Drosophila melanogaster: one gene and its partners. The protein of the gene in region 2 interacts with the protein of the main gene of each other region in a pairwise test. Each region holds a gene or a part of one and is shown on either strand. Other genes may lie near its edges. The genes, in order: CG15812, Sox21b, CG6765 and CG42727.

Evidence for each region.
Region 1: the proteins of Sox21b (region 2) and CG15812 interact in a two-hybrid assay, tested with the Drosophila melanogaster proteins (one large-scale study listed by BioGRID).
Region 3: the proteins of Sox21b (region 2) and CG6765 interact in a two-hybrid assay, tested with the Drosophila melanogaster proteins (one large-scale study listed by BioGRID).
Region 4: the proteins of Sox21b (region 2) and CG42727 interact in a two-hybrid assay, tested with the Drosophila melanogaster proteins (one large-scale study listed by BioGRID).

What each region holds. Positions count from the first base shown.
Region 1 is NT_037436.4:3,156,469-3,163,240, reverse strand, and holds CG15812 (uncharacterized protein), read right to left. Parts: upstream 3,251-6,772; 5' UTR 3,145-3,250; coding exon 3,142-3,144; intron 3,135-3,141; exon of another isoform or gene 3,071-3,134; coding exon 1,517-3,070; 3' UTR 1,222-1,516; downstream 1-1,221. Other genes in the region: rasp, read right to left, coding at 1-1,042; ND-30 (NADH dehydrogenase (ubiquinone) 30 kDa subunit), read left to right, coding at 3,769-3,832, 3,893-3,967, 4,026-4,684; BtbVII (BTB-protein-VII), read right to left, coding at 5,655-6,041, 6,100-6,772.
Region 2 is NT_037436.4:14,126,884-14,134,134, forward strand, and holds the start of Sox21b (Sox21b), read right to left. Parts: upstream 4,442-7,251; 5' UTR 4,255-4,441; exon of another isoform or gene 3,675-4,254; intron 1-3,674.
Region 3 is NT_037436.4:8,509,391-8,519,709, reverse strand, and holds CG6765 (uncharacterized protein), read right to left. Parts: upstream 6,944-10,319; 5' UTR 6,637-6,943; intron 5,837-6,636; exon of another isoform or gene 5,515-5,836; coding exon of another isoform or gene 5,069-5,514; intron 5,011-5,068; coding exon of another isoform or gene 4,863-5,010; exon of another isoform or gene 4,789-4,862; intron 4,640-4,788; 5' UTR 4,622-4,639; coding exon 4,545-4,621; intron 4,327-4,544; coding exon 3,260-4,326; intron 3,198-3,259; coding exon 2,644-3,197; intron 2,511-2,643; coding exon 2,452-2,510; intron 2,395-2,451; coding exon 2,293-2,394; coding exon of another isoform or gene 2,280-2,292; exon of another isoform or gene 2,239-2,279; coding exon 2,052-2,238; 3' UTR 972-2,051; downstream 1-971. Other genes in the region: GstO3 (glutathione S transferase O3), read right to left, coding at 1-198, 729-756; CG6683 (uncharacterized protein), read left to right, coding at 4,863-5,010, 5,069-5,514; Pus7 (pseudouridine synthase 7), read right to left, coding at 7,186-8,608, 8,668-8,770, 8,826-9,197, 9,259-9,446, 9,507-9,625; ZC3H3, read left to right, coding at 10,066-10,319.
Region 4 is NT_033777.3:15,345,502-15,352,303, reverse strand, and holds CG42727 (uncharacterized protein), read right to left. Parts: upstream 4,257-6,802; 5' UTR 4,186-4,256; coding exon of another isoform or gene 3,862-4,185; intron 3,803-3,861; coding exon of another isoform or gene 2,801-3,802; 5' UTR 2,602-2,800; coding exon 1,966-2,601; 3' UTR 1,913-1,965; downstream 1-1,912. Other genes in the region: Tmtc4 (transmembrane O-mannosyltransferase targeting cadherins 4), read right to left, coding at 1-953; Trs33 (TRAPP subunit 33), read left to right, coding at 1,384-1,452, 1,521-1,910; CG42726 (uncharacterized protein), read right to left, coding at 2,801-3,802, 3,862-4,185; CG31301 (uncharacterized protein), read right to left, coding at 4,392-4,614, 4,679-4,840, 4,899-5,095, 5,152-5,510, 5,621-5,999; Surf4 (surfeit 4), read left to right, coding at 6,345-6,395.

The DNA of each region.
Region 1 (6,772 bases), about 11 Mb from region 2:
GGAATTCGTACAGACCCTCATCGAAGTACTTCCACATGTCCGAGTAGAAGTGGATGCGTCCGATGCAGCGCGGTCTATTGGGCGCTGGGATGCCATCCTGCACAGCAAAAGCTATTCCCAAGCCGTATGTCACCACGTAGTACAGGAAAAAGAACTGGCCCATGAAATAGCCGGCGGAGTGCTGCCAAAACACCGAGTCCATCATCTCCACCATTCGCACATCCCGCGACATGTAGTGTATATAGAAATAGTGGAGGGCGCACTGCATCACCAACCACCATATGGCGCTGCGCAGGACTCCTCCGACGAATCCCAGCCAGTTTTGCACTTCATCCTCCCTCCGGGCTGCGAACCTCTGGTAGCTAATGATCGGCCCATAGGTCAGACAGGGAAAGTACATGGCGTAGCCCAGATACTGGACGAGGCTGTATCTCGTAAGATCCTCCTGCTTAGCTCCAATCTTGGACAGGGAATAACTGCATCCGCGAAGCACACTCCAGGACATTGTGACAATCACCAGGACGTATTCCGTGTAACCAACGCGATCTGTCCACCAGACATTCTTTTGCATCACATTGATGCACAGTATCCAGCCAGCGGACAAAAGCCACACGAGAAATTTTAGTGAGAGCAGGGAAACGATGTAGTAGCTGGCTATCAATGTGACTAGTAGTACCATCGATGACCAGTCCAGGTTTACACTAAGAGCCAAGGCACAGACGCCGATGAATCCCAGACACTGAAGGCGGGGACGTTTCCAGCGTATGAATCCTTGGACAGCCACGTGCAGCAAGTAAAAGGGCCAAAAGCTGACGATAAAGTCTCCAAAGTTCTCCAGCTCATCGTTGCTGTCATCCCGACGCCGCTGGGAAAAAGGATACAAACTCCAGCCCTCCGGAAACTGGAACTTTGCCTCCTTGACTATGTGATCCCGCAGCCCATAGATCTTGTACAGGCCCACAACTATATACGCTATATAGACCCCGAAGTAGACGAAAATTTCGCAGCGGGTGAGCAGGGATCGGTCTGGTAACCTTGACATCACTACACCACCGATTTGGACTCTTCATTCCGGGAAAAGATTGCGATAGGGATGTGAAAAACCAGCGAAAATATCGATATTTTTATACCCTTGCTGGAGAAGAGTACCGGCATTTTAATTACATGCATGTACATATTTCTCTCATGTTATAAATTTGACCCATTTAAAAAGAAGTTTTTGTTAATTTTTGGTTGTATTTAATTAACCAATTACGATGGAGTGAACAATAAAAGAGCAGCAGTTAAAATGGTAATGGTATCTACATATAGAACTAAGTCTACAAAACTACCTCTAGAATAGCATCTCTTGCTGCTCTTCCGGACTCAATTTTGGTTTCATCAGGAGATAGGATATGGTTGATGTACATACACTGATGGGACAACATGAAGTTAAACCCTATGCTTATGGCTTCTTAATGGTAACTTATTGATTCCAGCTGAACGTTTGTAAAACCAGAACTCCGAAGGCTTATTTCTAGTTTAGCATATCGTCTCCGTAATTGGCCTTCAATTCCTTCTTGACCTTTTTATTCTGGCTCGTCGTGCGTCGCTGCAGGTGTCTCCAGAGCGTGCTCTTGGGGATCTCGAAGAGGTTGGCCGCGTGGTTTTGGGACATTCCCTCATTCAGGCAGGCATGCACCGCCTTGGCTAATTTGTCGCGCAGCTCATCCTTGGGCGTATTGTCGCGCTTTCGGCAGGACACGAAGTTGGGCAGGCGTCCCTGGGCGGACAGACGAACCTTGTGTCTGTGCAACGTGGACATGGGGATTTGCAACTCACTGCTGATGCTCTTTAAAGAATGTCCATTCTTCAGTCGCTCGTAGGCCTCTTGCAGGGATGGTCGTTCCCGATTGTTTCGCATGTAGGCGGGATTAGTGCGCACGCGTCTCCAGAGGACTGTCTTGGAGATATCAAACCGGTCGGCGGCCTTTTGTAGGCTTAAGCCCTCGATGATAACCGCGTCGGCCGCCAGATCCAAAGCATCGTTGATATCGTCTTTTACCTCACGTTTCAGAGCTGCGAACTGCTGGATTCGCGTTGGCTTGCAATCGGACAATCGTTTGACAGCCTTCGCACTTATGGGGCGACGGATTCGCGTCTTTCCCCCGCCCAACTTGCGGGGCTTATCGTCTATTTCCTCGTCCACAAGTTGGTCGTGCACGTCGTCATCGTCGTCCATTTCAGTACCAGCTTCTAGTTCCATAAGAGGATCGGCTTGCGCGAACTCCTCGTCGATCATTTGTGATTCGTGCTCCTCAGAATCCTCAGCAAGGTCCGCATCCACGTCATCATCGCCCAGGTCCACTTCAGCGCCACTGGTACCCGTTTCATCTGCCTCAATTTTGGACAAACTCGATGCTGACTGCGTTATGGTGAAAGTGCCCGTGTTCTCGGTGAGTATAAATTGGTTGCCGCTGGAACTTCCGTCCATGTGCTCGATGGAGTAGGTGATCTTCGGCGGCTCGTAGACATCAATGTACTCCAATGACCGACTGGAATGGCTGGGCTGGTGTTGAGAACCCGCGAGTGTAGTGGCTGGGACGGAGACCATCGGATGTGGCTCTTCCTCGTCGTCCAGCAGCTCGGCCTCAGCGATTTGGAGTCCTGTAATGGACTTGGCCGACTCCACGGCTAACGAATGGTTCTCTACATCGACACTGGGTGGACTAGCCGATGGATTGCACTCAAAGCTGATGGCAGATTTGATGCCGAGGAGGTTAATGGCCTCCAGGAACTCGGGGAGCGACGCGGAGGGCAGGCTAGTCTCGCCCATGTAAATGAAGGACAGCATGCACTCCAGCAAATCTCCGCGGATGTCGGGCAGCATTATGGTTGCCTCCTGGCCGCGCGGAACGTCCACCAGGAGGTTGCGCATCAGTTCGCTGCAAGTGCTTAGCACGAATAGATGGGCGCGCACTCGAACGCCGTCCCTGGAGGCCAGCACCACCTCGCAGTGCTGATTATCATTACGCAGCGAGCGCTGGATGTCCATTATCGTGGATGAGTGGCCCATCCACTTAAGATGATTCTGCAAACGGCGACGATTGTAGATTTAAATTTCACTTATCCCGGGGATTTGGGAGGACGCGTTTCACTTACCATCTTGTTGTGTTTTGATTTCCAATTGATTTCCAAGAAGTTTTCAATTCTCGCAATTCCAAACGCAACGCGTTGTCACAGTTTTCAGCCAGGGTAGTCGAATGCACCTAAGATCTCGGTATTTCGGTATGTTTTCCATGAGATGTACTTCAAGGAACGTGTTGGTATTTTTAATGAAATAATAAATGAAGTAGTAGGGTACATTTCTTTTTTTTAAAAATCATTTAACCAAATATTCTAGAAAAGTTTTGTGGTTGGTAATGAAGAATAATTGTAAATGTTTTCCATCTGCTGTACTTCAAGGAACGTGTTGGTATTTTTAATTAAATAATAAATCAAGTAGTAGGGTATATTTATTTTTTATATAAATCATTTAAGCAAATATTCCAAAAAAATGTTGAGGTTTTTAATGAAGAATAATTCGGTGTTAACGTACACGAAATACAATAATGTATGTGCGGTATTTGTGTTGTACCGAAATTGTCAAAATACCGAAGTAGGGCTGTCGAGTAGATTAATTTGGCGCACTGACAACCCTAGGCTCCAACAACTATATTGACATTTTAGCATTACATAAATTGTCAAAAACGGAGCAAATTGTTGAATTTATATTGAACAGTTTGTAGAATGGCGGCCTTAATCAGGAATCTGGGTGCCCGTGCCGCAGTCGCCGCTCTGTCGGCCAAACATGGTTGGTAAATGCCTTGCCTCTAGAGCTTCAACTGATCTATTCTAACCCTTCAACAATCAGTGGTGCCCGCTGCTGGATCCACTGCTCTTCGGATGGCCAGTACAACGCCAGTGGAGCCTAAGAAGGCGGATAAGCGTAGGTAAAAGTCGACTTTATCGCGGTGTCAATTACATGTAAGACATTCCACCCACAGCCACTGTCCGCCAGCCGGACGCAGTCGCTCGCTCGCATCTCTCCGATTTCGGGCGCTATGTGGCCGAGTGCCTGCCCAAGTACGTGCAGAAGGTGCAGCTGACCGCCGGCGATGAGCTGGAGGTGCTTATTGCGCCAGAGGGCGTGGTGCCCGTGCTGCAGTTCCTTAAGGATCATCATCAGGCGCAGTTTACCAACCTGGTTGACATTGCCGGCGTGGATGTGCCCTGTCGCAAGAACCGATTCGAGGTGGTCTACAATTTGCTCTCGCTGCGCTACAATTCGCGCATCCGCGTTAAGACCTACACCGATGAGCTGACTCCTCTGGACTCCGCCTGCGAGGTGCATAAGGCGGCCAACTGGTACGAACGTGAGATCTGGGACATGTACGGCGTGTTCTTTGCCAACCATCCCGACTTGCGCCGCATCCTGACCGATTACGGTTTTGAGGGACATCCCCAGCGCCGCGACTTCCCGCTGTCCGGCTACGTAGAGCTGCGCTACGATGATGAGAAGAAGCGAGTCGTCTGCGAGCCCTTGGAGTTGGCCCAGGAGTTCAGGAAGTTTGACTTGTCGGCGCCTTGGGAACAGTTCCCCAACTTCCGCAACGCTAATCCCCCCGCCGAGGTAGTTCCGCCACAGGCTCCAGCCAAGAAGTAATCCGAAGTCGGTTTGTTAAATGGTAATTAGATCAATAAAACGTGATCACTATGAGATGTTTAAACATAATGGAAACGACGGTCTACTTAGCTATTTAGCTTTCTTGGCTCGTTCCTAAACTACTTCCACATGAAAACGCAATTCGTATCAAACCAGAGGGTCACAAGTATTTATTGATTTCCGTATTGTTTACATACATGGTAGTTTACACTGAGAATTAAACGAATTCGCCGGATCTAGCACATCCGAAAACCTCCTCGAGGGCCATGTGCATATACGTACATACATACATAGATATAAAACGTTAAGTAAAACAAGTGTGGGCCACTAGACAATTCGTGCGCCTGCGCAGCGGTGCCCGGCGAAAGTACAGGTGCAAGGACGTACTTAAGTTTAGGCCGGAGCGGATTGGGGTAGTGGTAGTGATAGTTGTACTTGGTGAAAACCTTATCGTAATTCGAGCTTCGAGCTGCACCGTCGTCAACGTTTTATTTTTGTTAGATTTTAGTTCGGTTTTTTTTTTGTACAAGAACATACACATATAGTACATAGATACACACACATAAACATATTATTACATTTAGCGATTTAAAAAAGTTTTCACCCCGCATTCCGACGGTGTTCCAAAAGATTTTCGTTACTTTACAATGGCAGCGTGCATCTGGGCACGGCTCAAAAAACAATTCTCTGGCGCCACCTGGCGCCCTCTCTCGCAGTCCATGTGCCCGGACTCCGGGCCGGATGCACAGTGGGACTGGGACAACAAATGAAAATTTGGGTGCAGTTCGTGAGCGCGCGTTTTTCGCGCTTCCTGCTGACAAAAAAACAAATTCGACAGACGGCCATGTGTGGACCATGTTCCAGAATGAAGGACGAGCAATGCGTGGCTTCTAGTCTGATGGAGGTCAACCTTTCGGCGGCCGTCCTGTCACAAATACAAATATGCGGGCTTGGTCACGGCAGCTCCAGATTATATCGATTCCGTCTTGGTATAATGACGAGCTGCACCCGCTCCACTGCTGCTACTGCCGGCAGAGGAGACGTACGGCGATGCCTTGCCACTGCTGCTGCTCCCCGATCCCGTCGTGCTGCTGCTCAGCTGATTATCGCCCGCTGCCGCTCCACTGGATGCAGCGGCCGCCTCGTTGTTCAGCCGCTCGTGATACTCCTGGAAACAGGGCACAATGCACAAATTCGTCTGGCACTCCGGGCAATGGTATTTCGTTTTGCGGCGCAAAATGCGTCCATGCCCGTCGATGGTGTTCCAACAGAAGTTGCAGCCCAGCGCCGGACCCGGTCGAATGACCGGACAATGACTAGAACGCGGATTCTCGAGAGTGATGATCTCCCGTTGGGTCTGCAACAAAGGTAAGTCAGTGTGAGTGATCTTTCGGTCGGGTACACATCCAACTCACCTGAGGTGAAGACACCGATCGCTGCAGTTCCTCGTTCTTGACACGCAGCGTGGGCAAATGCTCAAACGAACTGCTCATGGTGGCCTGGCCGGGATGCAGATGGGTGCCAGTGATGGAGCCCGAGGCAGACTTGGAAGTCCGCAGCCTCGAACCGCCTCCGTTGGCGGCCTCTGCTGGATTCTTCCCCGCCCGCTCCACGACTTGCGATCTGCTGATGGAGGGAGAGTGCGGAGACCTTCGCTCGTGTGCCACATCAGATCCAATGGAGAAAGTGGGCGACAACGGATGCCTACTGGCGCTGTTCTGTAGCCCCGCATTGGGTGAGGTAACCACAGACACGGCCGCCGACACTGTCGACGAGGAGCCGGGACTGGCATTAGTGGGCGTTGCCGCCGTTTCACTAGAAACCACTGGACAGGCCACTACGCGCGTGGGCACCAGGTATTGCGAGGAGCCGGCCGGCGGCGGAGACCCCGAGGCGTAGATGGACTCGGGCAGTGAGATGTGGTGCGGATGGTGAAGCGGCGCCGGAGTGACATAGCTGGCATTTGAACCCGACAACGGATGCGAGTATTGGCGGTGCAGCGGGGCAAACGGATTGCTGCCAGTTGCCATCGCGGAACTGGATCCAGAACCGGATCCGGCCATGTGCAGTGCGGACTGGCGAGGCAGC
Region 2 (7,251 bases):
TGAACCGCCACATGACCAGCTCATTCCAGCGTGTCCAAAACAAGCGGCTCGGGTGCAAATAGAGTACACAAAAATGTAAAATGGGAAAGAAATGGGTTTCAAGTGCCCCGTCGCATAATGGAAAGGATGGACGACGACGTCGTCGTAGTCGTCTCATTTGTTGTTGTGTTATTGTGCATCCCGGTCGGTTTTAAGGGTTGACATTTGGCCCACACAATGGGCGCTGAAAAGGAGTGAGTCCGATTCTGGACGAGTTGAGGTGGCAACCGCCAGCGCGGCTCGCAAGTGGGTTTTTTGGCCCAAAAGTCCACGACTCCACTCGGCATTGTTTTCTTTTTGTCCCCGAAGAATGGGCCTCAGACGACATACTTTTAAGAGCTGAAATCAATTAGTTAATTGATTAACAATGCCCCAATGAGCATTGAGGGGTCACAAGGCGTAGGGGAGGGAAACGACTGCGAGTTGTTGGCGAACGCAAACGGGAATAATTCATAATATAATTATATCTGAGTGGCTAGTCAGCTAATTAAAGTGGACTGCTTGCAGTATGAATTGAATTGGATTCCTTTAAAATTCATGTAAAAACTTATCAGGTTAATTCACTTTCTAGTTAAAGTTTATCAGTATTACATCTGAATAATCATGATCATTGCTAATCATTTTAATTAGGGAGGACACTTAAGCGTTCTTATTAAAAGATAAATAAAGTGGTTGTTGTTTTCAGTTGGGATAATTCAAATATTTTGTATCACTAAAACGTGGTAATATTTTCAAAAGAAACAATGCCGTTGACACATTTCTTGATCTTTATGTTTAAATCATCTGTTTTATAAATAGCTAAGCTTCTTAAAATAATCACCAAGAAATTATTTAAGTAGCATACATTTAGCATTCTTTGTTTACTTAAGGAGGTAAGTGCGATCCCATATTGTACGTATTGCAAAATGTATATGTATAATAGGGCTTGTACAAGATAAACTATTAGTTGCTTGCTTTTATTAAAGCTAAAGACTTATTAAATTATTTAGAAAATATAATTTTTTAGGATTTACAGCCTATAGTAGATAAAAAGCTACTAAAAAGTTGTTGAGACTCATAAATCTAAAACATAAAACTATTTCTGGATCGTTACGTGTACTCAATAATTTTGGAATATCCTTGGGTTTATGAAGTGGCCAACTGTGGTTCGAAACTATTTATCTTTATCTGTCCAATTCGACTGTTTTTTCTCTGCTGCCATATTCCGCAGTCTCTCTTTTTGGCCCTGTTCATTGGCATTTCTGGCCATGCAACGCATCGTGGTCAATAACTTGCGTTGGGCTATGCGAGGCGACATCTGTACTGCTTCCGGGCATTACCACTTGGTGTTAAAGTAAAAATTGCCCAAGCATGCGTATTAAGCATGAAATTTATATTAAAAGAAAAGGGGGAGCTGGGAACGGGGAGCGGTTAGCAAAGGGACACGCATATTTGTAATCCTTATGGAGTGCAAACAAATTTCTGTGTTGTCAAGTTGCTCTCCATATTTTTGCTCCTCCTTTTTATGTTGCGAATTGGCAGAATACACTGAGAAAAATGAATTGATTATGTTTATTTGTGCCTCCACTCAAGGTATACGCTAAATTTCATATTTTGAAAACACTACGCATATATCAATTGATATGAAGTTGCATTTATGTTTGGATTTTTATTTTCGAACTAATTTAATTTTGTGATTATTCTAGTAATTGAAATGGCAATAAAACCGAAAATGACTATGTGGACATAACACTTGTTCCGATGTGGTGCAGTGTCGCAGTTGCAGTATCAGTTGCACCACAGGGCCACCATCCGAATCGACGGTTGCACCACCAGCTGTGCACAAATTGCACTCCAGATATTTTTATTTGCTGTGAATATGCCAGCTCCTCCTTTTGATTCGCTGCACCTCCACGCAGACCGAAATGCAGCTCCGATATTTATTTGTAACGGAAATGTAACCGTTAAACCCAAAAGCGTGGGTCTTCTCAGGGTGTTAATCTAGTAGCCTTAATAGATAACCCACCAGAGGCACCTTATGTCCGACTCTTTCTCATGGAAATCGAGTGCTGAAGCCGTTCTTCTGTTTCGGACTTCGTATCGTATCGCAGTAGGAGTAAAATTAACCCGCTGGCCACTTGAGTTTCGGGGGCCATATAGATCCACTCGTAACCCCCGACCAAGTTGGCCGTGTTGTTGCTGCTTCGCGTTCATTTGTTCATCCGTTTGTTGGTATGTCAAACAAGAATTATGATCGGCTTAGCCACATGCTGAGCCCGAGATCTCTCCCCCAGCCATATTCTTCTGCTCATTCTTTAGCGGCGAAGAGGAGTCTCGCGGTCTGCAGTCTTCCACCTCGTCTTCAACACAGGTAGAGCTTTAAGTGTCTCCACTTTGTGTTGAAATGTATCGCGGATACGCACCGGGTTTTCGGTCCCAGCAGACCCTCCATTCAAAAGTGTCGTCTTGCCCGCCCGCTGCGATCGGATCTTCTCAGGGCCCTAAGTCGCTGGGCCCCCTAATGTTTGTAATTAAGAACTTTCACACTCGCAACAATCGCCTCGTAAACGTGCCAGTGTCTCGATAACCACATACCCTGCTCCTCCAAGGTTTAGTGTCAAGTTTGTGCCAAGGGCTATCCAAAGGGCTATCGAAAAGAAAAAGAACCGATACAAAGTCAGCTAACCATATGTGTGCTGATACAGCCGGGTATTAATTAGAATTTTTTCATACTCTTCTTTGGATTATGCCTGTTTTTTTGAGCAAATTTATAAAGCGAACACAATGGCCAAAAGAATGGCGTAAAAATATTCGATTGACATCTGGTGCGCAAAATAATTTCAGAAAACTCTGTTTGCACAATTGGGTTTTTTGTGTGCTGGTCCAAAGTCGATTTCTATATGATGGGGGCGCGTCACATTAAATTCAATTGTTGTCACATTTTGTGTAAATATATTAATAAACATACGTTGTTTTTCCCTATTTCTTTTACTATTATTTGCTCTAATTGCGTCATTTCAAATTCTCTGGTGCTTTTGACTCTCTTTTCATTGCGGCTTTTCACATACCTTGAGTCGGTTTTCATTTATATTTCGAAATTAAGTTAACCAAACAACTTTGAATGCCCCTCAGAGAAAGAAAACGAGCTTGCTTTAATTCAAGTGGAAGATCGAAAGCAAAAGTAAACACACCTCGAGTGGGGCATAAAGATTCCGACAATGATTTCGCAGAAAATGAAAAGAGGAAAATCCTGAAATTATCCAAACAATAAAATCTGTTGATTCCCCTTGTATCTGACGCACTCAGACTCATTATGTGGAGCTCTCTCCGTGTTTACCTAATTGATGGTCAAGAAAAGTTGTTCAAATTGCGTTCTGAACGGCGGTGAATTAAATGAAATTTGTAAAGGGTTAAAGGGATTTTTAATTGATTTTTTACCTGCTTTCTGACTTGAAGTAATTTCAATTAACTTGGAAAACAATTTTAAGACTTATGCTCAGTTCTATGGGATCAGACTTTATCATAGATCATATTTTACTTTTACTAAAAAAATGTAAGTAAATGTGTTTATATGTAGTTTTGCTAATTAAAATCAAAGCAGCTAAGTTAAACAACTAACTAAAGAATCCATAATGTTTTGGCTTCAATGAAGTTACCTCGAAGAGTTCTGCATTTCCTTTAAATTTCCCGTTTTCCGGCGATTGGAATCAAATATTCGATGGCAGCATATATGCGGAATATACTACCGAATTATTTGGATAATATGTGTTTATGGTTTGTTTTTGTCGCTTATGAATTCCACTTTCCGAACTGCCATAAAATGTTGAATTTGTTGACTTTTATGGTCTTGAGCTGTTTCGTAACAGAATCTGTTTGACGAACACTTTTCCAATGGATATCACTAGTTTATGTTGACGTGTGTTGTTTGCTTTCCATTCATCGATAAGATACTTATGGTGCATCCAATGTTTTGATGCTACAAAGAATGGAGCTTGTTTGATTTGAAGTTTGCAAGATAAATAAGTAGCTTAGGATTTCAAAACTTTATGAGACTTTTAAATCGCTTTGCTTTATTTGGATTTGTATTTTGTTTCATTTCTATGAGCACTTTACGAGCGTTGAAAGTTGATATCATATGAGCACTGTTTTTTGAATTGGTTTGTGTTTTATTATTTAGTTAAATGGGAAAGAAAAGTTTGGTTTGTTTAGGATTCACTTTTACTTTGGGATATTTACCGAGAACAGTTTGTTTATGTTTTTAGTATTATCCTTTGTATTTTTTTTTTGCGAATATCGGTTGTTTCTTGGCGTTTCTTGTGAGGGGGCTAAAACCGTCGCTAGCTGTTGGCTGATCGGCTCTTCTTGGCCAAGTTGGCTGTTGCTGCATCTAAGCGCGCTTTGGCGGCTATTCAACGGATCCGTTCCGACGCGTAACTAAAAACTTGGCGCGCGCTCTCTTCAAAAACACACGAGCCAAAAAACGAGTCTTTCAGTCACCGAATGGGGCGGGGGGCGTGGCAGGTGGGGCGGTGAGACAGCTGCTATGTAACAGTATCGCTCCACAGAAGCACACACACACATACTCAGCAAATCCTCTCTGCAAAAGCTTGTGTTCTCTCTCGCTCTGGATTAATACTTTTTCCGAGAGCTTTCTTTCTTATTGGTTTGTTAAATGTTTTTTATAAGCCTGTTTATAAAGAAACTACATCCACAACAAATTCAAAATTGAGAGCAAAAATATCGTTGTATTGGTGAGAGAGAGGCCCAACGACCAGGTGACATTTCGTGAAGGAAAGAATAAAAAAAAATCCAAGAACTGCGACGTCAGGAAAAAAAAGACGAGAGCAACAGAGATAAAAAATGTCAGACAGAAAGGGATGCAGAATGCAGAGGCAGGGCGGTCAACCAGAGCAGGTGTTGCGTGGGAGTGCGAGCGAGATAAACGGAGTAGCTACTAAGCCACCATAGCCATTTCACTCTAAACAACGAGTCTCATGATGGGCGTTTCCAATTGGAATGCTTCTGGTTGGGGAAGGTTTCGTGTTACATGAAATGCCAAGTGGAAAATGGGGGTAAAGTGGGGGTCTACGACGGTCTCTTTACTGGTAAGAGGTGCCACCATTGGGAGTGAGCTTTTCGGGAGTTTCTCGATTATTTACCGCATTTGCTTAGAGACCAGCAAAGAGCGTCCAAAAAATAAAAAAAAGGTGAAAAACAAACTATCGAAAGCAAAATCAACTAATCTTAATGGACATTTATTTTTGAATCGAGCTGAACCGTGGAGATCTGAGCCTGACATCTGGCCCGCAACTACGATTCGCCTTTGGCCAATTCCCAAGCTCAAAATGGTGGATATGTTAACCAAGGTGGCCATAGTCCAAAATTGGTCCAGACAGACCACTTTGGGACACTTTATCTTTGGCTCAGACAAAGATTAAAGTAGTGTCTGTTGTAGATTCGCACATAGTACTACATTTTGATCTAAAAAACACGTTCTGTACTGGAATGACAATTAACGATTGAGTGTTTTGACCCACATGAAATACCATTTCCAAAATTAATTTTTTTATATCTGTGCATGATGACACCTGGACTTTAGGAGTATATAGTCCTGCAAAGTGCCTACTATTGCTTTGCAATTTTTCGTGTCTACATTATTGTTTTGTTAATTTGCTTTGGTGGTGGTGGCGTTGCCAGGACAACGGCTCGTAACTCCGGAGTCCCAACTCCATTCGCATTTGGTCGGGCTTTGTTCCAGGACTTTTTGTGTAAAGGGTTTTGGGTGGGCCAGGGCATTACGCAGGTGTTGCCATTGTTTCAGGGCGGTTTTTAGCGCATTTTGATTTCCATTCACTCTGTCGTGTCGAGTTCTGTCGTCTGGCACTTTGGCTTCGTTTTAATTAACAACGAACTAATGACAAATGCAAACAGTGTGTACCTGCTATAAGATGAAACTACCTACTAGCACTCTAATTTAATTTGACTCTAATGACCTAAGCCTTTCCTACATGGGAGATAGTGGAAAAGTCTGAGAAAAGAGGAGTACTTGCTGCCTTTTTGCCAATTGTCAGCAAACAATTGCAAGTTGGAAACAATGGCGCACATTTTTCCAGCCCCAACTTGACGAACTGAGTGAGTGACGAAGGGCTTGCTGGATGGATAGATGGATGGACTGCAACTGTTCCATTTATTTGGACCTGGTTTTCCCCTCTCGCTCTCTCGTCTTCTACCGCTCCCTGTCGCACTCTATGTACTGGTTGTGTCCATTGTCTTTGGCTATGTCCCCTTCTCTTTCGCTCTGTCTGTCTCGCTTCCTCAGTTAGTCAGCCATTGTAATTATACACTGCACTCACCTGAATGCCTAAAATGGCTGTGCTAGCTATTGAATGGGGTTTGTCAGATATTCAAGTTAAATGGATAATTAGTTTTTCGTTAAAGTATGATAAAATACACCTTTTTTTAAAGTTCCCTTCGTAAAAATCTAAAAAATTCGTTATAATATTCATGTTAAGCTACAATATATCTAAAGGTATAATAACCTGAACAGTGAACACTCCGTTGGGGCGAATACAAATTTCTGTTTTTCTACTACCATGTCGACCATTCTCTATCCCTTTCATCACCTTACCCCCTTTTTTCGCAGTGCATTTTTCCATTGTCAGTTTCTGTTTTCTGTTTGTCTATCTGGCCATTGTCTGTTTGTCATATTTATCATGGCAGTTGCTTTTGCATTTGCCATAGCATTCTCTGCACTTGCAAATAAATGTTAATGAGTAGTTAGACAAAAAGCGCTGACAATGCACCGACTGCAACTTAGATAGAGAATATTGTGATGAGAACAGCCAGATGGGGGATTTGCCATCTTGTTGAGCCCGTCTTCAAGGCCCTAAGCCTGCAGAATGAAGCTCAACAATCGCAACGAAAAAGATTTCAATGGAGCTCTAATGCCTAAATCGTTATTGTTGGGGATGGATAGGTTGACGAGGTGGATGAGGCTTCCACACACTCCTGACAAGCTCCTGTCGCGGTGAATTGAAAATTTTCTAAAGACCAGGACAACAATGGGGGCAGAGATGCCGCCGTTGCCATGTAAATTTTTGCACTTTTTGTCGCTCATTAATGTTAATCAAAAAGCAAAAAGCACGAGGAAAATCATTCAAATTTTCGGTTGTGTTTGGCAACCGCTTGGGACTTCTAAAAGAAGCCCTTTCCCCTTCCGCAATATATTTCACC
Region 3 (10,319 bases), 5.6 Mb from region 2:
CCAGCTGCAGGGCAGGCACCTTAAGCAACGGACTCACTTCCACCAGCCACTCTGGTTTCTCGGTGAGATTGATGTAGACACTGTGATAGGGCACATTCTTGGCGTTCAGGACGAGATGAGCCCGCTGAGCGTAGGGACAGAACCTCATGGAGTACAGGCGAAGGACTCCATCGTCAGGGAGTACAGGCTTGGGGGAACCTAAAGATAGAATTTATTTACCAGTTAAATTTAGGTTATACAAATAAATCAATAACTTCATGAGTCACTTGTGGAACCCTAAAATCCACCCCTGTATTATTATTTGTTTAGCAAGTCATTGCACTTAAGTTAATGTTGATAGGGCCCAGTCGTGATAAAGCTCAAATTTTGTAGCTACGTTATCTTTTAGAGTGTAAATATTATGGGTTATCTGATATCGGGGTGAAAGCTATAGCTAAAAATGTAAGTAAATTTTACAAATCAAATAATTAATTTAATGCATTACCTACAATTGTAAAAGAATAAAGATCGTATTGAAATTTACCAAATAATATACCTTTCTAACTTTTTAACCAAAAAATCCCAGTTATTCATGCCAATATTCTTTAACATTATGAAATATAAAAATCGTTATTCGATAATTACGCTGAATGTTGGAGAACTTGTTTTATAAATAATACTATAAACACTCTAATGACATGGGCGTTTCTCTTGGCGGCGGCGACAACTGGTTTTGCTTGCTCTCTTACCTTTGGCCAAATGTTTACCAGAACTCATTTTGTTTAATTGCAGAACTGAACAAATTCGCTTAACTGTTGAAATGTCGACGGTGAAATGCGAACTGAGTTTTCTCTTCGACGGCGCTCTGTTTATATAAAGTTTTTTGTTTGTGTTTTAACGCGAATAAGAATAATCGAGCTTTTTGCGACGTGACTCTTAGTTTTCGTTAGCTTTTAAAAACGATTTCTCATCGCAGACGTTTATTTCGATTTAAAACGCTTTACTACATTTGCGATTTGTTTTGTGGGAAGAGACAATCATTTCCTCCGCATTATACATAGTACATCTACTTAGTTTGTTAATAATCACGCCTGTTTGTAAATATAGATATATTTTGTTTTTACATGGTTTGGGGGGAGCTTTATTTTTGTTTTTAATTGAACCTCGGAACTACTACGTACATTTAGAGTTTTAAGTTTATGAACTTTTCGTAAAAAGTTTCGATCGGCGGACTTTCGAAATCAAACTTAATCTATGTACAAAAAAGTTCTCGAAATTTCCGTTCATGCCTTACAAAAAATACAAAAAAGTATTAATACATATACAACAGAGTTGCTGACATCATTGAGTCGCGATAAATAGTTGTTATCAGTAATTGCATTCGAAAAACCAAATTGGAAAGTAATAAATAATGACAACTACACTTGCTGCTGGAATTAATTGTTTATCAAAATGTAAAAAGATCCTTTCGCTGCTTTTGGTCCTACAAATGGGATTTCTTTTGATGCATCCTTTTGAAAACTCAAGTGGATGATTAATTTTTAGTTTTTAATTCATTTTAAAAATGTCCGCAAATGGTAAACATTAAAATTTAATGATTAAACTGTATCGTTTTTTTTCCCGAATCAATTGCGCGTTGTTGTTACGGTAAATACATGGGATAAATAGCTAAAACTAAGTAAATACGTACACTTAAAAAAATTCTACACACTGGAGTTAAATGTTGCTTTGCTTTCGTTTCTGAATTTCTTGCTTTGTCTTGTTTTGCATCGTTGCCTGACGATTTCCATTCTAAGTTTCGTTTATAGTTTCGTTAATTTTTTTTTGTTCGCAATTTGTATTTTGTTTGTTGCTCTATAAAATATGCAAACTGGTTGCATTTTGATCACGGTTCTTGCTGTTGCATATAAACATCCATCTCACTTTTGATTATTGGAACGACTTGAGATTTTTGAAAATGAATGAAGAATATGGCTGTTTTCAAATTTATCCATGGGCATCCGGTTTCGAATCCTTCAGCTTCATTCGCCAATGGTCCAATGGTTCTTTGAAGTTGATCCCTATGGCTGGCCTTAGCCATTCGGTGAGGTGGATGCTCCAGGAGATGTGGTTGTGGCCACTGCATCGCTGTTGCTCATCTTGTGCAGCATGAGGGAGTGCGTCGATCTGGTGGCGGTGGAGCTGGGATACTTTGGCTGCATTTGGCTGTTGGACACTGTGGAAGAGCTGCTGGTCGCCGGCGGTGGCGGTGGCTGCTGGCTGCAAGTGAACAGAGTTCATCAGTGTGCTTTTGCTAGCCCTTAGGACACACACCCCTTCTGCTCGCCATCCTTCTTGCTGTTGAACATGGCCAACTCGATCTCCGTGTGCTGGCTGTTCATGTGGCGCACCCACTCCGCCGGCGTATCAAAGGATCTGCACATGGGAAAGGGAGTTAGTATATATTTTGCTTCTATAACTCCAAACACTTACGTGGAACACAAATCGCAGAGCAGAGTTACGTGATCGTGATCCATATTGTTCTCCTGTTGCTGAAAAACACAATATATAATCTGGTTTTAATACATCCAATAGATATTGGTAACCGATCATCACTACGAGTTAAAATCATACTTCAGTAGATTTGGATTTATTAAAGGGATGAGTTGCTGTCCAAGTACTCACCGAAACGCGACGTCGTTTCTTTGGCACATAGGTTTTAACAGATCGCAGGGCGAGGTTGCTGGAGGCGGATGTGGTGCTCCCGCTGGCACTGGATGGCAGGAGATTCCTCTCCGTGCCGCCCGTGGGATCGCCGGCATGTGTGCCCAGGTGACGGACCAGCATTTTGGTGTCCTCGAAGGACTTCTGACAGATCTCGCAGACCAGCAGCTGCTTGAAGTTGTTATAGTCGCGCAGCGTGTGCTCCTCGCTCTCCTCGGAGGGTGTTCCGCGATCCCTATTCACCTCCAGCTTCACGGCGGACATCTTGAAGTCGAGTGGCTGCTTGGGCGAAGCCAATGGCAACTCCTCCAGATTGTTGTTGTTGGACGCACTGGAGGCGTTTGGTGGGTTGTTGCTCCAGTCGGTCGGCTCCTGTTTGATGGTGAGGAAGTTGTGCGGATGTCGAAGGGTCGGCGGATGTGATGGTGGTGCCTGCTGTGGTGGTGGCGGAGGTGTGGCTGCCAGGCGAGAGGATACCACGTGCTCAAAGTGTGGTGCTTCATAGTAGTCCCGAGCTGAGGGGAATAAAACATGGGATTAGTCATCATTAGCAGCTGTGCTGAGTACTCTTACTCACATCTTTCGCATGCGCTCTCCCTCCTCAGACGTCGCTCGAAGACCAGGCCCACCTCGTTCCGCTCACGAAGTGCCTGCTCCTCGTACTCTGTCCGCCGCAGCGTGGTCTCCGCTTGGTCAGCACCTGGTCCGGCGGTCAGGGGACAACTGCTGCAGCCCACCTCCGTGCAAATGGAAATGGGCTGCGATGGCGGGGCACCTGAACCTCCAACTGATCCTCCTCCTCCTCCTACTGTTGTCGTTGTGGTGGTTGGTGGTGGTGGGTGAGACTGCGACTCCAACTGACCGGGTGCCGCGAAACAGCATTTGTCCTCCGGATCGATGGCCACCTCCTTGTTGACGGAAATGCCCAACTTGCTGCTGCTCGCGACGGTTAGTAGTCCTGTGTGGGCGGCCAATTTGGGTGACTTAATGATCACAGGCGAGTCCTTGGGCATCACGGAGGCACCAAGTCCACGAAACTGCTGCTGGGGATTATGGTGATTCAGGTGGCTGTGGTGTGACGACAGGTGGTGGTGATCCAAAGCGAAACGTGTCGATCCACCCGGCTTGCTGGCATATAGATCTCCCTGAAGTTGCGCCGACATGGTTGATTGTGGCGGCGGCGGAGGGGGCGGCAAAGCGGTTCGAGTGCCATTCGACATGTACATGGTGCTAGCCTCTCGCGGATGCAGATGCCCGGCCAGTGAATGGGGATGATGTGTGGTCGTGACCACTGAGCCGGATCCACCGCCATTGGAAGAGCTGGTGCGGCAGAGGCCACGGATCTTGAGGATCTCACCGCCGCGCAGGACCTCGTTAAGTATGTCGTTGGAAACTGTGGCCTCGCCGCTGTACATGTACTGAACCAGGATCTGGATGGCGCGATGGCTAAGATCCGGCGGCAGGACCACATACAGCACTCCATTGGGATTGGTGATCGGTGCCGTTTCGAACATGGTGGCGAAGAACTGGGACGAAGCACTCAGGATGAACTTGTGGGCCGAGATGCCCACTGTGGGTATATCCGAGGGGATGCCGCTGCTGTTGTAGGAGCTGTACAGAACCACATCGGCGAACTTTTCGTTCCTAAAGGGGAAATATGATGCGTTAATATAGCATATCTACGTATTTTGTAGTACTCTTGGAGAATATTGAAGAAGGGTTCTTAGAAAATGTGTGTTTAATCCTCTGACCCTGATACATTTAATGTTTTTAACATTAAACAATTAAAAACGCTGCTAGATCACAATTACAAAAAACAAAAAACTTCAAATATGTACCAACTATGGTACAGTGGTACTTACTTATAAAGTGTGGCTATGGAAGAGTTAAGATAGGTGAGGTGTGAGTCCCACTTAAGGTGATAGTTTTCGGCGGCCATCTCTGCGGCCGGCAGCTCCTGTACAACGATAAAATCAATAAATAAATCAATAAATGCCGCCAGTGGGGTGTTTATTTTGAATCTCCCGATCCCACCACACCACCCAAGGAGTGGTGAATAGAGGGTTTAGCCACCATGCTCTTGTGACAGCATATTTCTCACACGAAGCAACGGTCATACTTATTCGCTAGCTTCCATTTGTTTACATATTTTCATTTGTGTTTATTTTGAAAATATCAAAATGTCGCAGTTCGACACGCGACTTATTGAGCTGGTTAGGGCTAATCCCAAGCTTTATGAGCGCGAACTTAGAAACGCACCCTACGAAGCGCATAAGAAGCGACATCCGGAAATCTGGAGCAGCATCGCCACTTCATTAAATTCAGAAGGTAAGAAACTGATAAATTGTATAAATATTCCCTAATTCCTCATTATATTTTAACTTAGCTAGTGCCTGTGTCAGTCGTTGGAATCATCTGGTGGCCAAACAGCGTCGGGAGCTGGCCAAAGAAAAGGCCGGAGGCACTGGCTCCGATTGGAGTCTTCTGCCGCATTTGAAATTCCTGCAGCATCACCACCATCCGATTAATCACCGAAATTCGGGTGATCTGAGTAGGAGCACACTGAAATCCAGCGACGAGGTCAACGATGATGAGGATCCGCTCCAGGAGGCCATGGATGAGCAGCTGGCCGTTGCGGGAGCTGCACCAGCACCACCCACAAATCCTGCCCATGCAACGCCAGTGGCTCAAGCAGAAAAGAGGATAGAAGCCCTGCTTGAAGGACTGGGCGAAGCAAACCGAATTAAGGCGGAGAAACGCATTCTGGCCTACCTATGCAAATGCAATCTGCGCGCCCTGAACGACGAGCAAATCGATGATATAGTTATTTAGGAAGATTGCCAAGATGATATAGTTATAAAGGAAGATTGCCATGATGATAAGTTAAATACATACATGCCGTGATAGGATATCAAAAGTAGCAAACATCACTGATCATATAATTGTTTAATAATTAAGTCATTTTTGTTATAGTTTATATATCTGGACAATTATCTTAAGCGAATACTAAATAACTTCTTTTTCCAAATGTATGCTTCCCTAAAAAATATTGTTAATCCATTCATTTAACCTAATCTTCGCATCTAATGAAGTTTACTATACAAACTAACTATTGCATTGTATGATATGATAAAACATTAACACGCCTGTGATTAAATAGTTTATTTTATTTGAGGCTTAAGATTAGCAATTTAAAATTCAAGACAACTGGTAAACCCCAAACAAAGCATCAATTGTCGCCAGAGGTCATTTATAGAGCCAGAGACTTGCGGGAGTGTATAGTAATGCAGTAGGAAGCTATCTGTGTGGCAAAAGCCAACTTTGAACAGGCGGGCGGGGAGCAGGTGGAGTAGGCGAGGGAAAATCGAATTGAGCCACGCCAAAAAACTCCTACTATGACGCAGCTGCTGCTGGGAACTGGTCAAAGAGTCAAAGAATGCGCGCGCAAGCAATAACATGTCCAATATCCATGTCTGGATCGGATCGGGGGAAGGCCTCCAGCACGGGGACAGGGCGACGACGACGCCAAAACAAGCATTTAGTTTATTAATTTGACGACTGCCGCAGGGGGAGCAGTGGGCCGAAACAAAAACATAACGAGCGAGGAGCGTCGTGCACCCTTAACGACTGATGCCACACTACCACTACCCCCTCGTACCGACTGAGTCCCCCTTACTTCACACGTACATGGTGAACCCTCCGACGCACTAAGCCACTATATGAACCAACTACTCCTACGGCCAGCCACCTACCCACTAGACCATTCCCATTCCCAATCCCCGGACTCAGCTCTTGGTATTAACACCGTATTATCGATTGATTTCCAGCACAAGCACACAACAAAAATCAATAGGCTGCCAGAGCCAAAATCAAATATTGTACAGTTCTGTGATTGTTTAGTTCAGTGTTGTCGTAAAAGTTATAAACAATTTGTAGACTCGAATGTATACTTACGCCTTAATAAATGGATTTTCAAAGTACGCGCCCAAAACGTTTAAATGCTACATTTAACTGGAAATTCACCTTGTCTCGCCTCTTGGTTTTTTTATTTGGTTTAAAATCTCTTTAAATCACTGGATGAATTGGATGGAGTCCGTGGATTTTTGGGGGACCGTGCTTGTTCGTTATTTGTTGTCAATTAATAATTTGTTATTGCTCTTCATTGAGAACGCTGGGGAAAACCGTGCGACTTGGACTTTTGAGCTGGGGAAACTGCGCAGCGCGTCGCTTGAGCTTTCGCGTTGGTGGCCACCGAACGAATAAAATCGCAGTCAAAGAAACAGGACCAAAAGGACTCTCCCAGGCGAGAGAGAGAGAGAGAGAGAGAGCGATTGAGATTGACGGGGTGCGAGCCACGGGATGCGACAGTGAGAGAGAGAGAGAGAGGGAGCAGCCCTCGTCCTCACGTGCGCATTGTTATTGTTGTGGTTGGTTCGAAGTTGGATACGAAGCGCGCGTAAAATTGATTTCCTGAGCATATTGATTTTCGGTATCTCACTTGGCCTACACCGCCTCCTCGGCCCCCTGAGTTTCCGCCTGCTCAGTTTCCTGCCCATCCTCGTCGGCCACCTCCTTTACCACCTCCATTTGTTCCTCCTGGGTTCCTACCGCCTTCTTTTCATTGTCCTCCTTAGCCATTGCCTGTTTCTCCAACTGCGTTTGCGATGCTGACGATGTGTCCTGCTTTAAGAGTTCTCGCAAAAACATGGTGGCATAGGCAGCCGTGGGCAGCGAGAACTCCAGCAGGAGTGCCATGTAATTGGCCTCAGCTTCAGCTGGTTCTGGTGCAACCGGAATGTTCTTCAATAGCTCCCAGTCGGAGGCGATAAGTGTATCCTCCGGCGTATTGTACATTCTAAAGCTCCACTTGAGATCACTGGACGATATGATCATCTTGCGGTAGGCGCCAGCCAATGCGTATGTCTTCTCCTTGTGCTTCAGTTGATCCGAGGAAAGACCCACTTCGGCGAGCATTTCCTCGTACCACGCGCCGCACTCGTTGCTGGGATAGGTGATGTCGTGTCCAGGCAGGGGAAGGACCACATCGCAAAGTTTGTACTTGCCGCTAGCGATGTCTTCTGCTGTGAGCGGGCGAACCTTTCGCTTGAAAATCGACTCCTCTTCGATGGCTTCATCCCCTTCGGGGACTTCCAGAGGTTCATCGTTAGGCTCCTCTTCTTTTTGCTCTTCCAAGGCCTCGCCCTGCTGCGCCTGCTCTTCCGAGGCTTCCGACTGATCCTGCTCCACATAAACCAAATCCCCGGGTATCAATTTCAAGCCGAACTCCTTAATTCGTCTAGACGCTATCCTGTTGAAGATCAGGCTTTGGTAAGCATGTGGATATAGCATGAGCATGTTGCGTGGTATCTGCCGCAGAGCTGATGAGTAATCTGATTCACCAAATCTGGCCAAGCCGTCCAGCAGCTTCTTTTCGATGAACTTTTCGCCGTAGATCTGTGCAGCTGCCGCCGCGGAGTCGCGATTTTTCCACCACTCCTCGCGTATGGGACGCAAAAACTCCACATCCGAGTCCCGGGGTTTCAGGATCAGTTCGCAGGCCAGTTTGTAATCGTGCTTGAGCAGAGCAACACCCACCTCATAGGTTGGGACACTGGCGCTGTTGCCGAACCGCTGCAAGCCATAGTAGTTGATGAAGCCGCGTTCCTTCAATGATTGCAGTGCCTGCTCGATTTCTTCTCGCTTCTCCTTGGCAATGTGTCGCAAGGCAATACGAAAACGATTGCCCTGCAAATCGCCTAGCTTCAGTGTATTGGATTCGAATCCAAAGTTGCCGATATGAACATTCCGTTGGGAGCGAGCTGCAACCAAAATGCTCTCTGGTGTACGACGCTTGACGGAGAACTTCTGGGTGGTTTTGGCCCGCTTGTCCTTGATGCCGCTGTAGTTCACCTGCGATGGTCGTAAGCTGTAGAAAAATAATGTTTTCTTAGTATATTAAAGCATTTAAAATTTGATCAAACTTACTTCAGTCGCGCTGCTAAAGTAGAGGCCACATCGCTGGTAACCAAATTGGTTTTGTGCACCAGGAAGGTCACGTAATCCGCCGGAAAGCTCCAGCGTTTGTCACCTATGGAATTCGATGCATAAAAAAAGGAATTCCCTGGGTAATCATTTCTACTAACCGCGTCCTGGCTTTGGTTTAAATACTTTTATAGTCTTCTTCTCCTCTGCCGGCACCTGTGAGTCTTTCTGGGTTGAGGTTTCACCTTCAGCCGCATCCTTATTTTCCAAAGATGCCTCCTCCTGGACCTTCGGCTTAGCCTGCTGCTGTCCAATGGTTGTGGACAGTAGCTTGCCCTTGTAAAGCTGTTTTATCATCTGGTGGACTTGTGTTCGCTGCTCCTTATCCAGAGTGGTCACATCAATCTCCACCTTTTGCTCGATCGCGGGATCGTTTTTGGCCTTAGCCAGATTGGCTATATCCTGCCAAACTTCCGGGCCGATTACTGCCTCCAGTTCTTTCCGCCAGTTGTCCAGTTCGTTTTCGGCCACAGCTGTTATAGTATGAGATGCATGAGCATAAGCAAGTATGCAGGATAATTGGTGAATACAGACCCACAATAGCCACTTTAGGCACACTGAGATCGTTCAGTTCCAGAACCTTTCCATTGCTATCAATCTCGTTCACGTGAAAATCAGAGAAGCGAGACTTAAGTATTCCCGTGAAGCCAGGTGCCTCCGGGTTAGTGAACTCCGTAATGCCCACTTGGGTCTCCAGCAGCGTGGATTTCTGTTGTGGAGCACTTTTGTCCAACGAAAAACGCCGGTTAACAACGATATTATTTATGGGATTTAATTTGTACCTGTTGCGCTGACCGCCACCATTGTTTTGGGGGCGATCCTTCTTCTGACCACGCCAGTTGCTCTTGTTGTATGGCCCGGAATGGTTATTCCTACGTCCTCTGCCCCGATCCTTGCCCATCTTGGTTCAAAATTCGCGTTTGAAAATTTGTCGGCAAATGAAATCCACGTTTTGCACAACATATGATGTGCCCATTCACAATAAGCTTTTTAGGTTTATTAGGGTGGCCGCATGTGCCATTTATTCGGGAAATAGATTTCTTAAATGGTTGTTAGCATAAGTTCATCCGCAAATATTCCTCTTTTTTTATATTGTATGATAAATATAATTTAAAAACATGCTTAATATTAACATATCATAAAACTTTTGTTAGTATATTTTCCTCATTTATACTTCAGTATTTTTTGGTATTTTTCTGGTCCCAGATCAAGTTCACACTGCGTACGTAATGTAAAGAAAATGTGCAATACAAAGAAGCATTGGAAAGAAGTGTAAAAATTGAGAAATAACCAAAAATTGGAACGGATTAATTCATTAGGTTAAGCCAAGGAAGCAACGAAATGTTGCCGCATATAAGTGCCGACGAGGCACAGCCGTCTATGTCGCGAAAGGTGTACATCAATCCGAATTTTCAGCTGCAAGGTCAAACGGCGCATCAGCTGCCGTTCCAAGTGCCCTTCCAGGCGTTCCAGGCGCCACTGCAGCCTCAGCCCGCGATCCATATCAATCCGCACTTTCTGAATCGCCAGCGGGCCATGTACGACCAATACCAGCGGGAGCAGCAGGAGCAGCTTATGATGCAACAAGTTTCCGC
Region 4 (6,802 bases), on a different chromosome or scaffold from region 2:
AGATCCCAGATGTTGGTCACCAACTTGACGCAACCCAATGCCCAGTCGTAGCATAGCCAGTGGGGGCACAGCATCAGCCAGATGTTCATGACCAGCAGATACTGCTGGGAGAGCCCACGGGTCAGCACGTGCTCATTGTGCGCAACGGGGTTGTCAACTTCCTTGAAGGTAGGCGTCTCAAAGTCCTGCCACCAAAGGCGAGCCGTCAGCAGACCCAAGGTACCCAGCAAGTAGAACAAGTAGCTGATCCGGGTGCGCAAAAGACTCCACTGATCCTTGAATCGCAGATGATAGTAGCCGTTTTGAAAGTAATCCAATAGTACACACGACATGGGGATGGTCACAGCGGACTCCTTGAACAGCATTCCCACAGCGGTGAGCAGCATGATTAGACCGCCAGTCTGTGGACCAAGTCTTCCGGTATTGGCCACGGTCAGCAGAAGACACAACAAGTGAATCATGCCGAACATGAGCTCGGCCCTTCCAACCACACCAGAAACCGCCTCTGTGTGAATTGGATGGGCGGCAAATAGAGCAGCGGAGAGGATGGCCCATCTTGCCGTGCTGACCTCCGGAACATAGAGAGAGCGAATCAATCGCCACATGAGCAGCGTGTTGACGCAGTGTAGCAGGAGGTTTAGGAACTTCATGTGGGCGGCACTTAGCCCCAGAAGGGCATACTCGCAATGGAACATCAGGGTGGTCAGTGGCCGAAATGATTTGTGGGAATCGGAACTGAGCAAGGAAGCACCCCAGAAGTCGTGCGTGAAGATCGCCGTCCAGTTGGTGGGCAGTGAGTTGACATCCCGGTTCTTGACGATGGCCACCGTATCATCGAAGACAAACTTCGCTCCACTGAGGCCACCGCATCCGTAGCATAGCAAACAGATTAACACTAGGATTGCCTGACAGACCATGCTATGCAGCGTGGCTTTGTGAACGAGGTCTAGCATACTGGATTATTTACTAATTGTCAATTGTTCAAGTTTAATTCACTTATTCTGCGAATTTTAATCGGAATTGTTTTGTATACATTTTTTGTTGTGTTTTTGTCCAAACACCCCCTCACTGAATAGTGATGCCAGATCAGCGATAGAAATGTGTGCAGCTTAGCTAAATATATGCATCGAAAAATATATGGTTATAAAATGATTTGAAATTACGCTAAATAGATCTATCAAATCTGCTCATTTTAGAGTATTCATATTAAAATAATTATACATACTCTTGATATTAAAGTATAAATAATAGTAATAACAATAAACCACTAAAAGCAAACAAGACATTCGCCCGTTAACGCTTGCAACAGCTGTTTAAATCTAGATCAAAACAAATCCGAGGAAAAATTTGTTGAACTCACAAAGAAAAATTAAATCCTCGAAAATGTCTGAAGAAATCCTTTTCGATTGCCTCCATGCAGAGATAGTCAATTATTGTCTGGATAGCAATAAGGTAGGAACACGAGGGACGCAAAAAAAAATCAGTCATACAACCGATTTTGATTTGGTTCCGCCTATTAGGAGCACGACCTGGCCACTTTGGAGTATATAGGCTTCACCACCGGCTACCGCCTGATTGAGCGGCTCACCCGTGAAGTTTCGCGTTTTAAGGACGAGTTGGAGACTATGAAGTTTATATGCACCGACTTCTGGATGCTTATATACAAGAAGCAAGTGGACAACCTGAGGACGAACAACCACGGAATGTACGTTGTGCAGGACAAGGCTTTCCGCTTTCTGACTCGCATCTCGCCGGGCACCAAGCAGCTGGAGCACGCGCCCAAGTTCGTGGCCTTCACGTGCGGGCTGGTGCGAGGAGCTCTCAGCAATCTAGGCATTAACAGCACCGTGACGGCCGAAGTGCAAAGCATACCCGCCTGCAAGTTTCACATAGAAGTGAACAGGAACTAATTAGGATGTAAGGCAATGGTTTATTACTACAATTATAGAGATACTACAGACTAGACTAGGCTATCTTTTCGTAGAATGCCACAATGTTGTGGTCAGTCCAGTTAAGGCGTTCTCGCAGGATCCACTGGTCGATGGGCAGTTGGGGCTGGGCGGGATTGGGATCTGTGTGGATTCCCAGGGCGGGCAATGGTCCAATCAATATAAGCCACTTTCCTTGATACACATTTAGATAGTCCAGAAAAGCTCCTCGATTGTTGAAGTAGCAGAAGAGCAAGGCACACGGATGAACGTCACTGCAGCATTTGGTCAATAAATCCGTATCCAGTTGGCTGGCATCCTCTAAATAGTTAAGCGGTATAAAACTTCGAACGGAGTACTTGCTCTGCCACCAGTTGCGATCGACCTCCAAGCCAAACATGGGGACTTTCCGACCTCCAGACACTGTCATAAGCCATTCCAAAAGCCCACTGCCGCAGCCGATGCTCAAAACTCGCTGGATGTCGTGCATGGCTAGCAGCTGATTAAAGTAGTCCAAGTCCACCGATGTCGGCCACATCCAGAGCAGCTTGCGCTTGAGCTGTTGGTCCAGGCAGTCGCCCAGGACAAGCAACTTGCGCCAGTTGCACGACGCATCATCAGTTAGGTAATAAATTTCACGCAGTGTCTCGAGTTCCGATTGCTCGTCCATCATATTGAATACTGTTAGTTGCAAATTAAGCGGTCTTGCTGCTTCCGATGGCCGGTGAACTTGGCAGTGACGCCGGCACGCGGAAATATGGCTAGCGGCCAACAAGATTGCTGCGGTTCGCTTCGGTTCGCAGCACCTGACTGATCTCTAATAAATTAGAGGACCCCTTTGAAAAAGGGCCAACTCATTAGAGATCATATCGTCACTTTGTGTTTTCTTCTTTTTGGTACCAATATTTGAAATTCTTGCGCCAGTGCATCTCGCTAAATTTGGAGCTACCTTGCCCCGGGACACGCGGCTGGTGATGTTGCATGGCTGGTTCTTGGGCATCGGGGCTAGGTTCGCTAGAGTATTCCTCGTTGTCCAGATCCAAGATGATCTTGCGATACAGCTGGACATTCTCCTCTGGCATTACATCTGGCAGAGGCAGATGCTCTGGGACAGCTTTCCCTTTCTCCATCTGCAGTTCAGGGAGTTGAGATGGCAGTGGCGTAGATTGCAGCAACATCACTGGCTCAACGTTGCCCACACTCTGGATCACACTGTTGTATCTTACAGTCTGAGATGGTCTTTCTTCCGCCGTCGTGGCCTCCTGAGCACTGGACCTCGGTGTAACCATTTCAACAGTACTGGCAAACGCACAACCAGGGTGCATGGATCGCAGATGTCGCAGCATGTTGTCCTTTCGGTTGATAGTGATGTCACATTGGATACAGCGGTAGCGTTCGGCAGTCTTGTGTTGTCTTAAATGTCGGCCCAGAGCATCCGGATCATTGTAGCTTTTGCCGCACAGGGAACAGGACTGACGTTCGCGATTTGAGTGGCGCTTCATGTGCAGCCGAAGCGTGGTTTGTCGCAGAAAGGACTTCTGGCACACTTTACACATGTGCCGAATATTGTTCTTGTCGTGTTTCCGCAGATGCTGGTTCAAATTGGCCTTGTTCTGGAAATGCTTAGAGCAGAGCTCGCATTTAAATTGCAGGCCGAGATCGCTGTGGATCGCCAGGTGGCTGGCAAGAGAGCTCTTGCGGCGGAAAACCTTCTGGCAGATTGGGCACAAATGCTTCTCCTGGTTGTGGGTAAGCATGTGGCGCTGTAGAACAATTGGTTGCTTGAAACTTTTGTGGCAGACGCTGCACGAGTGTTTTGATTGTTTCTCATGGCTCATTAGATGGTACTTTAAATGTGAACTGGTAGCAAATCTCTGGAAGGAAATCTCAGTCATGAAAACTACACACAGCATAAGTACATGCTGCAACTCACGCGTCCGCACTCCTTGCAGTTGAACTTCTTGAGAAGATCGTTGCCGCAGGTGAGGTGGTAATACTGCTGGGTCCGGCTGCGAAAATCCTTATTGCAGACGGTACAGTGGTAGCCCTTATCTGTGACAATTATTCGCTTATCAGCCGACGTCCTTGCTTGCGTTTCCTGTGTCTCCTGGATATCGACACTTCGTGCAACTCGACATTCCAGGCAATCCGATACATCCGCCACCAGGCAGAGACGACACTTGGTGTGTCCACAGCTGTCGGTGACGAGGCGATTCTGTCCTGTAGCATCGCAGTTGCAGCGAGGACATTTATTCATTGCTAAATTCTAAATGCATTGAAATCGCACATACAGGAGACTAAAATTGCAGCTATGCTTCTTCTTTCTCGCAGCCATTCAGCACGAAACGTAAACAAAGTACACGGTCAGAAATACTTTTCATATATTTTACATCCTTTATATTAAAACTAAGAATAAAGATCTTTTTATAAGAGTACTATGAGCTGAGATTTTGTTCGTCCTGCCTATTCACATACATCGTTCATCTCCAGGTCGGCCACATGACCAGGAAACAGGTGCGCCTTCTGCATGGGTACGTGCACAAAGTAACGATCACAAAACTTGGGGTTCCGCCGAAGCAGGACCTCAGTCAGTATTGTGCCATAGTCGATCTTCTTGGTAATCAAAAGGCGCCGGCTCTCTCCACTCCCATAGCTAGCGGAACGCAAGCCAAATTGTCTGGCGATTCTGTAAAGGGAAATGCCAACATAATAAGCAATTATTTTTTACGATGTGGGATGACGGTGCTTACTGGTGAAGCGTGGTTCTTTCTTCCTTCGAAAACGTGGGCTCAAACTGCATGTCACGTATATCGTCCGATCTCACATAGTTTTCTATAAGCCGTCGGTAATCAGCGAAATTTCCCTTTGGATTTATTAATCCAAGACCATTACGATTGTTCTTTAGCAGATAACTGAAAATATAAAATAAAATAGTTTCGTTTGGTGATACGTTAAAAGTCGAACTCTTACCATACGGGCTCTTCACGTCCCTGCTTCAGTCGCCCTAAGCCACCGCCTGTCCAGCCCATCAGTCGCATCATGCGATATCCCTTGTTGCTGGGGTCCAATTTGGGATCGCACGGACTGTCGGCGGACTCATTGGTGACTTTGATGTTGACGCCGTCCTTGTTTTTTTCCACCTTGATGGTGTCGCGCGTGGCATTCAGCTGTGTAGCGTAGTACCGGGTTTAATAAGGCATACATTATTTCAGAAATTTCATACCTTAATACTATAGCAATAGGACTGGATCGTCAAATGCGCCTGCTTATAGGCAGCTTTCTTGGCCGCCTTAAGGCTCTCCCCCTGTCCTGTCGCTATTACCTCATCATTTACTAATAATTCGGCGTATTTTGTATTATCGCTTAATGGCTGATCTCGGCTGACACGCTCTTCGTACTTGACATTCGCAATGTTGCAGGAGTTTTGCAGGCAGGCTCGTCCCCCAGCCAAGTACACAATGAGCCGACCGAAACGCAGATCTTGATAGAGATCGACTGGATCTCCGCCGCCAAAACACTGGCGTTTTATGTGTGAGCTATCCTCTGGGGAGCTCGTCGAGGGAAGGGGTGGAGCCCGGCGCCCTAGTAGTTGGAATTAGGCATTAGGCTTTGGTCTCTCTGGCTCGTATAGTTACTAGTGATAAAAAGAATCTTCTCTCGCCTATGGGCCCACTAATTGTTCAGTCGTCTACCTTTGGCGCGCTGCTCCGCCGCATCCGACGCCGAGACAAATGTTCTCTTCAGGCGCTGTTCCCGTTTCTGACGGAAATCCGCTGCGATTTCCTTGGACAACTCGGCCACCAAAAGCATCGTCGCGCTTGGATACTTGCAGCCCATGAACTCCATGTTGACGAACGTTTGGGCCAGGCACACCAGCCGGTCCTCCTCAAAACGATCCTTGTGGGCCAGCATGAAGCTGCGTCGCAGATCCCAGTGCTCATCACTTTCGTATTCCGTCTTGTAGCTGTCTACATCCCAGTCCAAGGAAAATTCCCCGGATCCATAGCCGGCATCATCCTGTTTTTTAACTTTGACTTTCTTCTGCTTTGGCTTGGATTGTTGAACGGACATCTTTACAGGGAAAATAAATAGCGTTCAACTTGTCAAATAAAATGAGCACAGGCACGCTTGTTTTTTGATTGCTGCTTTCCCATTCACAGCGAATTATCAATTCGATTGGCCATGTGTTGCCCATTGGCTATCGATAACGCAGCGATAACGATAGGCCCCATCACGGCTATACTTTGTCGTGCGTGTGTGTTTTTAAGTTCCTGCCTTTTAATTCATGATTTTTTGGTAACTTAACAACAATTTGGAGAGCGACGCGACGCCCAAGAAGTCAGAAACGAATTGCCAAAGTGTCTCCACAGACGATTGCCCCAAAGTGAGAGATCGGATCAGCCCAAAGCAGCCAACATGAGCATACCCAACGAGTACATAGCGAAAACGGAGGATGTGGCGGAACAGGTAAGATATATTAGGTTCCACTGCCAAAAAGAAGTCCACCAGGACTCCATATCCACCGCAGGAAGCGTCTTCCCGATGCGCCCCAAATGGCGTTTGCGGGGAAGCCCTGGCAGCTGCAAACTGGGAAAACTGCCAACGTCACCCAAACGCGGCAAAGTTCGAGGGTCTTGGCTGCATATAATCACGATCCGCTGACATGGGGGCAACGTGCTGGGCATTTGCTTCCAATAAGAATCTGGGTGCAACCCAGATGATGGGTTTGCCTTGTACTCCAGTACCGCAATTGACAGTTGTTGCGTCTGCCGCAGGGAAAACTCTCTCTCTCGCTGCTTATTTTCTACCTGTGTGCTGATGCGTATGTGTCTGTGTGTGTGTGCGAGAGAGCTGTCTCCGCAAGTGAAAGTGTT